2 linked regions of the Tribolium castaneum genome follow. The protein of the gene in region 1 purifies or fractionates together with the protein of each later gene. This does not show direct contact. Links are inferred from orthologs where the notes say so. Each region holds a gene or a part of one and is shown in the gene's direction. Other genes may lie near its edges.

The links. Proteins that work in one complex are often made in the same cells at the same time.
Region 2: the proteins of cell division cycle protein 123 homolog (region 1) and eIF2beta purify together in Homo sapiens (affinity purification with mass spectrometry; 4 studies listed by BioGRID and IntAct, counting the BioPlex papers as one, with this or other methods). This does not show direct contact. The link is inferred for Tribolium castaneum from reciprocal best matches to the Homo sapiens genes CDC123 and EIF2S2.

What each region holds. Positions count from the first base shown.
Region 1 is NC_087403.1:2,024,987-2,028,592, reverse strand, and holds cell division cycle protein 123 homolog, read left to right. Parts: upstream 1-1,358; 5' UTR 1,359-1,560; coding exon 1,561-1,578; intron 1,579-1,628; coding exon 1,629-1,772; intron 1,773-1,826; coding exon 1,827-1,919; intron 1,920-1,962; coding exon 1,963-2,164; intron 2,165-2,208; coding exon 2,209-2,331; intron 2,332-2,384; coding exon 2,385-2,506; intron 2,507-2,945; coding exon 2,946-3,050; 3' UTR 3,051-3,106; downstream 3,107-3,606. UniProt on the Homo sapiens protein: ATP-dependent protein-folding chaperone for the eIF2 complex. Binds to the gamma subunit of the eIF2 complex which allows the subunit to assemble with the alpha and beta subunits.
Region 2 is NC_087394.1:663,802-667,975, forward strand, and holds eIF2beta (eukaryotic translation initiation factor 2 subunit 2), read left to right. Parts: upstream 1-1,374; 5' UTR 1,375-1,542; coding exon 1,543-1,560; intron 1,561-1,636; coding exon 1,637-2,033; intron 2,034-2,097; coding exon 2,098-2,118; intron 2,119-3,300; coding exon 3,301-3,640; intron 3,641-3,698; coding exon 3,699-3,882; 3' UTR 3,883-3,999; downstream 4,000-4,174.

The sequences.
Region 1 (3,606 bases):
TTGCTAAAAATTAAGATATACAATATCTATAGTGAAAAATTTTATTTACTAAAAAAAATTCATAACTCAAAAACTAAAAGTCGTAGAGCAATGCGGTTTGTTCCATTGAATTCAGCGGCTCATTTTGCGTATAAAACCATCTTTTAACAAGATGTAAACTTTTAAAGTTTTTTGCTAAAAATTAAGATAGGCAATATTTATAGTGAAAAATTTTATTTACCAAAAAAAATTCATAACTCAAAAACTAAAAGTCGTAGAGCAATGCGGTTTGTTCCATTGAATTCAGCGGCTCATTTTGCGTATAAAACCATCTTTTAACAAGATGTAAACTTTTAAAGTTTTTTGCTAAAAATTAAGATAGGCAATATCTATAGTGAAAAATTTTATTTGCCAAAAAAAATTCATAACTCAAAAACTAAAAGTCGTAGAGCAATGCGGTTTGTTCTATTGAATTCAGCGGCTCATTTTGCGTATAAAACCATCTTTTAACAAGATGTGAACTTTTAAAGTTTTTTGCTAAAAATTAAGATATACAATATCTATAGTGAAAAATTTTGTTTACTAAAAAAAATTCATAACTCAAAAACTAAACGTCGTAGAGCAATGCGGTTTGTTCCATTGAATTCAGCGGCTCATTTTGCGTATAAAACCATCTTTTAACAAGATGTAACCTTTTAAAGTTTTTTGCTAAAAATTAAGATAGGCAATATCTATAGTGAAAAATTTTATTTACCAAAAAAAATTCATAACTCAAAAACTAAAAGTCGTAGAGCAATGCGGTTTGTTCCATTGAATTCAGCGGCTCATTTTGCGTATAAAACCATCTTTTAACAAGATGTAAACTTTTAAAGTTTTTTGCTAAAAATTAAGATAGGCAATATCTATAGTGAAAAATTTTATTTACCAAAATAATTCATAACTCAAAAACTAAAAGTCGTAGAGCAATGCGGTTTGTTCCATTGAATTCAGCGGCTCATTTTGCGTATAAAACCATCTTTTAACAAGATGTAAACTTTTAAAGTTTTCAAATTCATTCATTTTTACAGTCGAAGGGCCTATCGAAGGGCTTAATTTCCTGCAAAAATAAAGAAAATTGCAGGATATAAAGGGGGTGAAAAAAAATCAGTTTGCATTGCTTGAATATGAGAATAAAAAATGCAGAAATTAAATACAGTTAAGTTTTAATTTATAATAGAAACACATTAGAATGGTCAGGAGATGTTCTACAAATGTGATATGCAAGTCAGCGTAACAGCTTATTGATGTTTTTATAATGATTTACGATTATTTTGATAGTTTTCCTGGTGTGAACTTGACTGTAGAAAACGAGAATGATGGGGATATGGTGCTAGCTCCATGCGCGCAGCGATTGTCTGTCTGGTCGACTGTAATGTCCAGGAATCCGTACACAAGCGCGACATCTTTCGAGTACGTCTTGTTATTATTGTTATTGTTATCATTTTTTTGTGTAACTGATAAAAATGAAGTGAATGAAATAATTCATCTTTGGACACTGGACGTATCAAGCGCCAAAAATTGACCATCCGAAACAGTGAGGTTATGAGTCACACCATGTTGGTTTGTATTCAAATAAAAAATAAAATCGTTTTCTACCGCTTCCGTTACAGGAATCGCAAGATTTGAAACTTTTCTCGATTCATTTTTGGTACGAAAAGTTCCAATCTGTCGCGCTCAAAACAATTCTAATCGAAATCCCGCCGATTTTGTTGCAAAAACTCCAGTCAGATGAGTCCGATGTAAACATCGAAGAAGTATTTTCCGTTGTCGGTCTGGCCCTCTTTCTGATACCTTTTTTACTTTTTTAGATCTGTCCGCACGAATTCGTGACTGAGGTAAAAAATGCAATTAACACTTTAGATAAGAACGTTTTTGTTAAAAACAACTGGCATGCACCTATGGTAGGGTTTCAATTAATTATTCAACCACACAGGGGTGTTTCAGGATGCTAAAATGTTCAGTTTTGGGAACCAGTTGAAAGTTACAAATTTAGATGACTTGTCGTTGTTCCTCTCCGCCTCAAATATTATTTCAGAGGACTTTTCAACCCAAAGCAGTATTCCCTTTTATATAGCGTTAAAGCCCTGGAAAAGTATTCACCCCGCTAGCGAATTCCGATGCATTGTCGTCAACAAAGTCTTAAGAGGTACAAAAGTCACAAAAAACACGAATTTTGATTGATTTTTTTAGGTATAACGCCTAGAGATTGGCCAACGTATTATGCCCATTTCAAAGATGAGGGTCCTGTGATTATTGAGACTCTTAGCAATTTTTATAAGGAAAATATTGCGGACGTGTTCCCAAAAAGACACTGTAATTTTAGGTCTTATGTTATAACTTGTAACCCAAACGATGTTTCATTTTAGATACTTTCGACGTGATAATATCGTTTCCGGACCAACCATGTATTATTGATTTTGGGCCATTAAACAGTAAAACGAATTTATATGCATTTTCTTGGAAAGAAATTTCTTCTCTGTTTGATAAGGTAACTACGAAATACAGTGAGTTTAAAGTTACGCATAAAATTCTTGTTATTGTCTTATTTCATATATTTATTGTAATATTTCAAAATAAGCAAAAAACAATCCTTTATAAAATAAAGCCTTTTACATGTAATTAAACAATATTTTTTATGTTATTTTCTTTTTTCTACGATTTTTTTTTAATTCATTATTTAAATTTTTTTTATACCAGAAAGATAAGAGTATACTGCCAAAAACAGTAACCAAAAATATCGGTTACCATCTAAAAAAATTAGAACTGGTGACACAATTCAGTAACCTGTGACGTCAGAAATGTTACCATGGTGTCAAAATGTAGCATTTACCAAAATAAAATCGACCTGTTTGAGGATTTTTTATGCCTTACTTTAACTCACGCTATGTATGTAAAGCCAATCAAAATTTCTTCATTTATCTCTTTAGGAAGTACCAGAAGAAGTCGCTCCAATCTTCAGATATTTGGACTCTGATATTGGCATCATGTCAAGAACTGATGCAATTTACAAATTTGCGAACGCATTTACTTAAGTCTTGTTGTCAAACAGCGATTTTTTTTAATTGAATAAAAGTTTTTTTTCTTAAAAGATTGTATTTTTTATTTAACGAGAGTATAAAAATCTTTAGTAGGGTTGAGAGAAATAAAAGTACACAGTTACTGAAAGTAATTTTTATTAAGAACTCAGAACGTCAAATAAAATTAAAAAAACCCTAAACCAAGCACTCAGTTTTTAAAAAAGTGGGTAATGCTTATCACATTAACGCCTGGTATTTCAGAACTTGGGTAAAATCTTTGGCTTTTTGGCAAAACCGCACTCAAATACGTCAAACCAGGAAAGAAATTGATAACGAAAATATCTTTGGTTTAAACAGTCAACTGAAATACCGGGCGATAATCTGATTATGGTAATTTTAAAGCAATGTAAGCAATTTTCGCAAGCAACAAGAGGAACTTTGGTAACCACCACAAAAACAAAAAAAAATCGCATGCTGCAGATAAAATTAAAACAAGTACTTTCCCAACGTTTAATAATCAAAACGAAATATTAACTGTGTTAATGTAACTTAAACCACTTACTTCTCCTTC
Region 2 (4,174 bases), on another chromosome or scaffold:
AAACGAAATTGAAGCCGAAAAAGTCAAAATTCAGTAAATACATCGTTCAAAGCATTAGACACGTTTTTGAACTGGAATTTTTGTTTTTTTTAACAAGTATTTTTTTAACGAGTATTTGACGGTATTTTTGCGGTAAAAACTAAATTTAAAAAAGAAATTCTTTGAAACTAGTTAAAAAAATTATCAAATTTGATCGAAAATAAGCAAAATGTAATCAAAAATAAACCAAAATAATTTAAAATCTAGCCAAAAGTAATATTATTTGACATTTCTCAATTCGGTAATACGTCCATAGACTAAAATTTCTAGGTATTTTTTAACATCTTAACTTATTTCACCCGATTTAGCTAGTTTTTAAGCAAAATTAAATCAAAAATAAACCGAAAAACTCAAAATTTAGTCTAAAATATCTTTCAGACCATTAGAAAATGTTATTGAACAAAAGTTTTATTTTTTTTAAACAAACCGAAAAATCACTAACTACATCAAAAATTACATTATTTTAGTCTTTATTTCGAGTATTTGACCGTATTTTTACATTGTATACTGATATTTTTTAAAAATTTGATTGAAAATAAGCAAAATTTAATCAAAAATAAACAGAAAAAACCTAAAATCTAGGCAAAGACCGAAAAAGTCACGTCATAGATTATCTTTTTCTAAAATTATTAATCATTGTTTTGAATTTTTTGAATTTCGAACTAAAGAATTTTTTGAAAAAATTCCTTAAAAGCTTTCTCAAAGAAAAGGTAAAAATAATATTATTTAGTTCGATTTTTGGTCAAAAACAAAGCCTTTAGGTATGTTTTTTAATCCAAAAAAAGGTTTTTTTTGTGAGATTTTTATTAAACGAAGAGAATCACAAATTAGAACAGATTAAACTAAAATTACATGCTTTTTTCGATATTTCGAAAAATAGAATCTTCTTTAAAAATCTTTAAAAAATCATCTAAATTGATGTTATTTTAACTTGTTCCACTCAATTTAGATCATTTTGGAGCAAAATTTCGTCAAAAATAAGGCGAAAAACTTACCTTTATTATTTTGATTTTAATAATTTTTAAAACAGTCTTTTGCAACATTTCGCTAAGATAGACGAAAAAACACTCTATCTAATAAACAATTATATTACTGTTGTCCTTTATTAGTGTTTTTACGAATGTTTTTTTCGCGAAATATCGTTTAAATTTCAACAAAATTAAATTAAAACTAAAACAAAATTTGTAAATACGTTGAAAATAACATGATTTTGAGCGTTTTTTAACAAAAAGCGCAAATATCATGTAAAATAACGATAAAAACTAAGATCTTGTTAAGAAATTCACAAAAAAAACTAACTTTTTGAATTCCAATCTGGTGAATTAATTTTTTTCGTGTTGGCACCGCCTTGCCACTTTTCACGTGTGGTTATTCGAGTTGGCTGATGCAATAATTCCTCAGCGATTTTAAGTGATTTTTCCGGAAAATTCGCAGTTTTAGCCGTTTTCCCCACCGAAGCCAAGTTTCCTGTTTAGTGAAAAGCGCCCCAAAAGTGTGAAAATCATGGCAGAGGACGACGCCGTGAGTAAAACAGGCCCAATCTGTCAGGGCCAAAAGTAAGGTTATGTGCACGATTTTATCGTAAATAAATTTCCAGATTTTCGATCCTTCGCTCAAAAAGAAAAAAAAGAAGAAGAAGACCGCGTTCGATATCGAGGCGGCGTTGGCCGAGGGCGGGAACGACGCGCAAGACGCCGCCCCCGAGCCCGACACTGCCAAGGAGGACGAGCAAGATGATGCAAATGTTGATATAGATTTGGACTTCACCAAGAAGAAAAAGAAGAAGAAGAAGCCCTTCACGGCCGAGGATTTGGACGCCGTTGCTGGGGAGGGGAAGGACGAGGGGAACGAAGGGGGGAATCAGGATGAGGGGGCTCTTGATGATAACTTCGACCTGGAAGTGGACTTCAGTAAAACCAAGAAGAAAAAGAAGAAGAAGAATCTGGGGGATCTGATCGCAGAGGCTGATGAGAAGCATGAAGACAAGGAAAATGGTAATTATTTTTTTGAGGTTTTTTGGGGATTATTTTCTTGTTTGTCTAACATGCTGCACTTTAGTTGAGCGAATTCCGGAATCAGGTAACGTTTTTTTCATTAAAAATACGTACAACTGTTGTAATTATTGTGCAATTTCGTAAAAAAGAATGATGGTATTAGTGTAGCTCTTACTTTTTTTATCTTTTCGAAATATCAATTTATTAAAAGAAAATTAAAAAAAAAGATTTAACTCTTAAGAGAGTTTTTTAATTTTTTTTTGGTAAATATTTATTGATAATTATATACAATAAGTTTGTTTGTCTATAGGTAAAAATTCATATATTTTTTTTTTTCTGAAAATTTAATAAAAACGTACTATTTTTGGCTTTTGTTAGGGCGGATTTAACAAAAATTTCGTATTTCTTGAGCGTTTAACAACCCAAAAAAATTTATTGTTTTTTTTTCTCTCAATTATGGTTATTTTTGCATTTTTTAAGCCTTTGAGTTTTTATTTCGAGAATGTTTTTTTCCGAATGAGTCAACTAGTAGTTGATTTTAGCTAGTTTAGGTGACTAGATAAAAAAAACTCACTTTTAGCAAGATTTAGTTCAAATAACTCAAAATATTACACATTTTAGTCGGAAATGACTTATAATTATTGTGCATTTTTGTAAAAGAGCTTAAATGATGGTATTAGTGTTGCTCTTAGTGTTTTTTATATTTTCTCAAAATATATATTAAAAGAAAATTAAAAGGTAAAGATTTAACTAAGAGAAAAAAAAACAAAAATGATCAATAGATTTTTTAAATATTTTTCCCCTGTTTGGTTTTTTATTGAAAAATGTATAAGTCGAATATTTTTGTCTACTGGGTTAAAAGTTCATTTTTTTTGTTTTATTTTTTATTTGAGTTAAACTCACTTTTTACAAAAATTTTTTCAAATATTTAAAAAAAATACATGTTTAAGTTGGAAATAACGTATTTTTTTCGGGCGTTTATGGAGGTTTTTTTGTTAACAAATGTTTTTTTTTTAAGATTTTGCTTGGAATTGCCAATAAACTAATTATGCATTTGGCCAAAAATTCGGATATTCTTGCTTTTTTGAACACTAAAGTCTCTAAGATTTGTTTGTTTGTTTTTGAAAAAACACTTATTATTACCAAAAATTTCGTTCAATAAATCAATTAGGTAATTAAATTAATATTAATTAGGTAAAAAAACAAGTAATACCATCATTCACATGAGTGTTGATTTATTTTTTTAACTGAAATTTTTGTTATTTAGTGGATGAAAACTCAGCCGTTTGGATGACCTCCGATCGTGATTACACCTACGATGAGCTTTTGAAACGTGCCTTTGAAATAATGCGCGATAAAAATCCCGATATGGCCGCTGGCAAAAAACAAAAATTCGTTATGAGACCACCACAAGTCGTCCGAATTGGTACTAAAAAATCGTCATTTGCCAATTTTACAGAAATCTGTAAAATGCTCCATCGTCAACCGAAACATTTACTCGATTTTCTATTGGCTGAATTAGGTACAAGCGGTTCAGTGGACGGCAACAGTCAATTGATAATCAAAGGTCGCTTCCAACAGAAACAAATCGAAAATGTTTTAAGAAGGTTAGTTGCTCGTGCCTTCGGCCCTCGTCACAAATTTTTCTGTTATTTTTTTCTACAGGTATATTAAAGAGTACGTCACGTGTCACACGTGTCGTTCCCCCGATACAATTCTCCAGAAGGACACTCGATTATTCTTTTTACAATGCGAAACATGTGGTTCCAGATGTTCAGTAGCAAGTATCAAGTCAGGTTTCCAGGCTGTTACCTCAAAACGTGCTGCAATAAGAGCGAAAACAGCCTAGATGGTAGGTTAGAGGCGCGCAATATTTATACTTATTTTTAATTCAAAGTAGGTGTTGTGTACACTTTGTACGTAATTAGCCAATTGTTGAATAAACAAGATTGTGACACAAGAAAAATTATTTCAAACCGAACTAAACTACAATTTCCTAAGTCTAACATTTCCTAATTTAACAAAAAACACAACGAAAAAAATTGTATCAAAGTTACACCCGTTTTTATGTTTTAAAAAAATGTAACGTTATGGCCAAATTTGAATGTTCCTGTTGTCGGAATGAATGGAAATTTTGCATG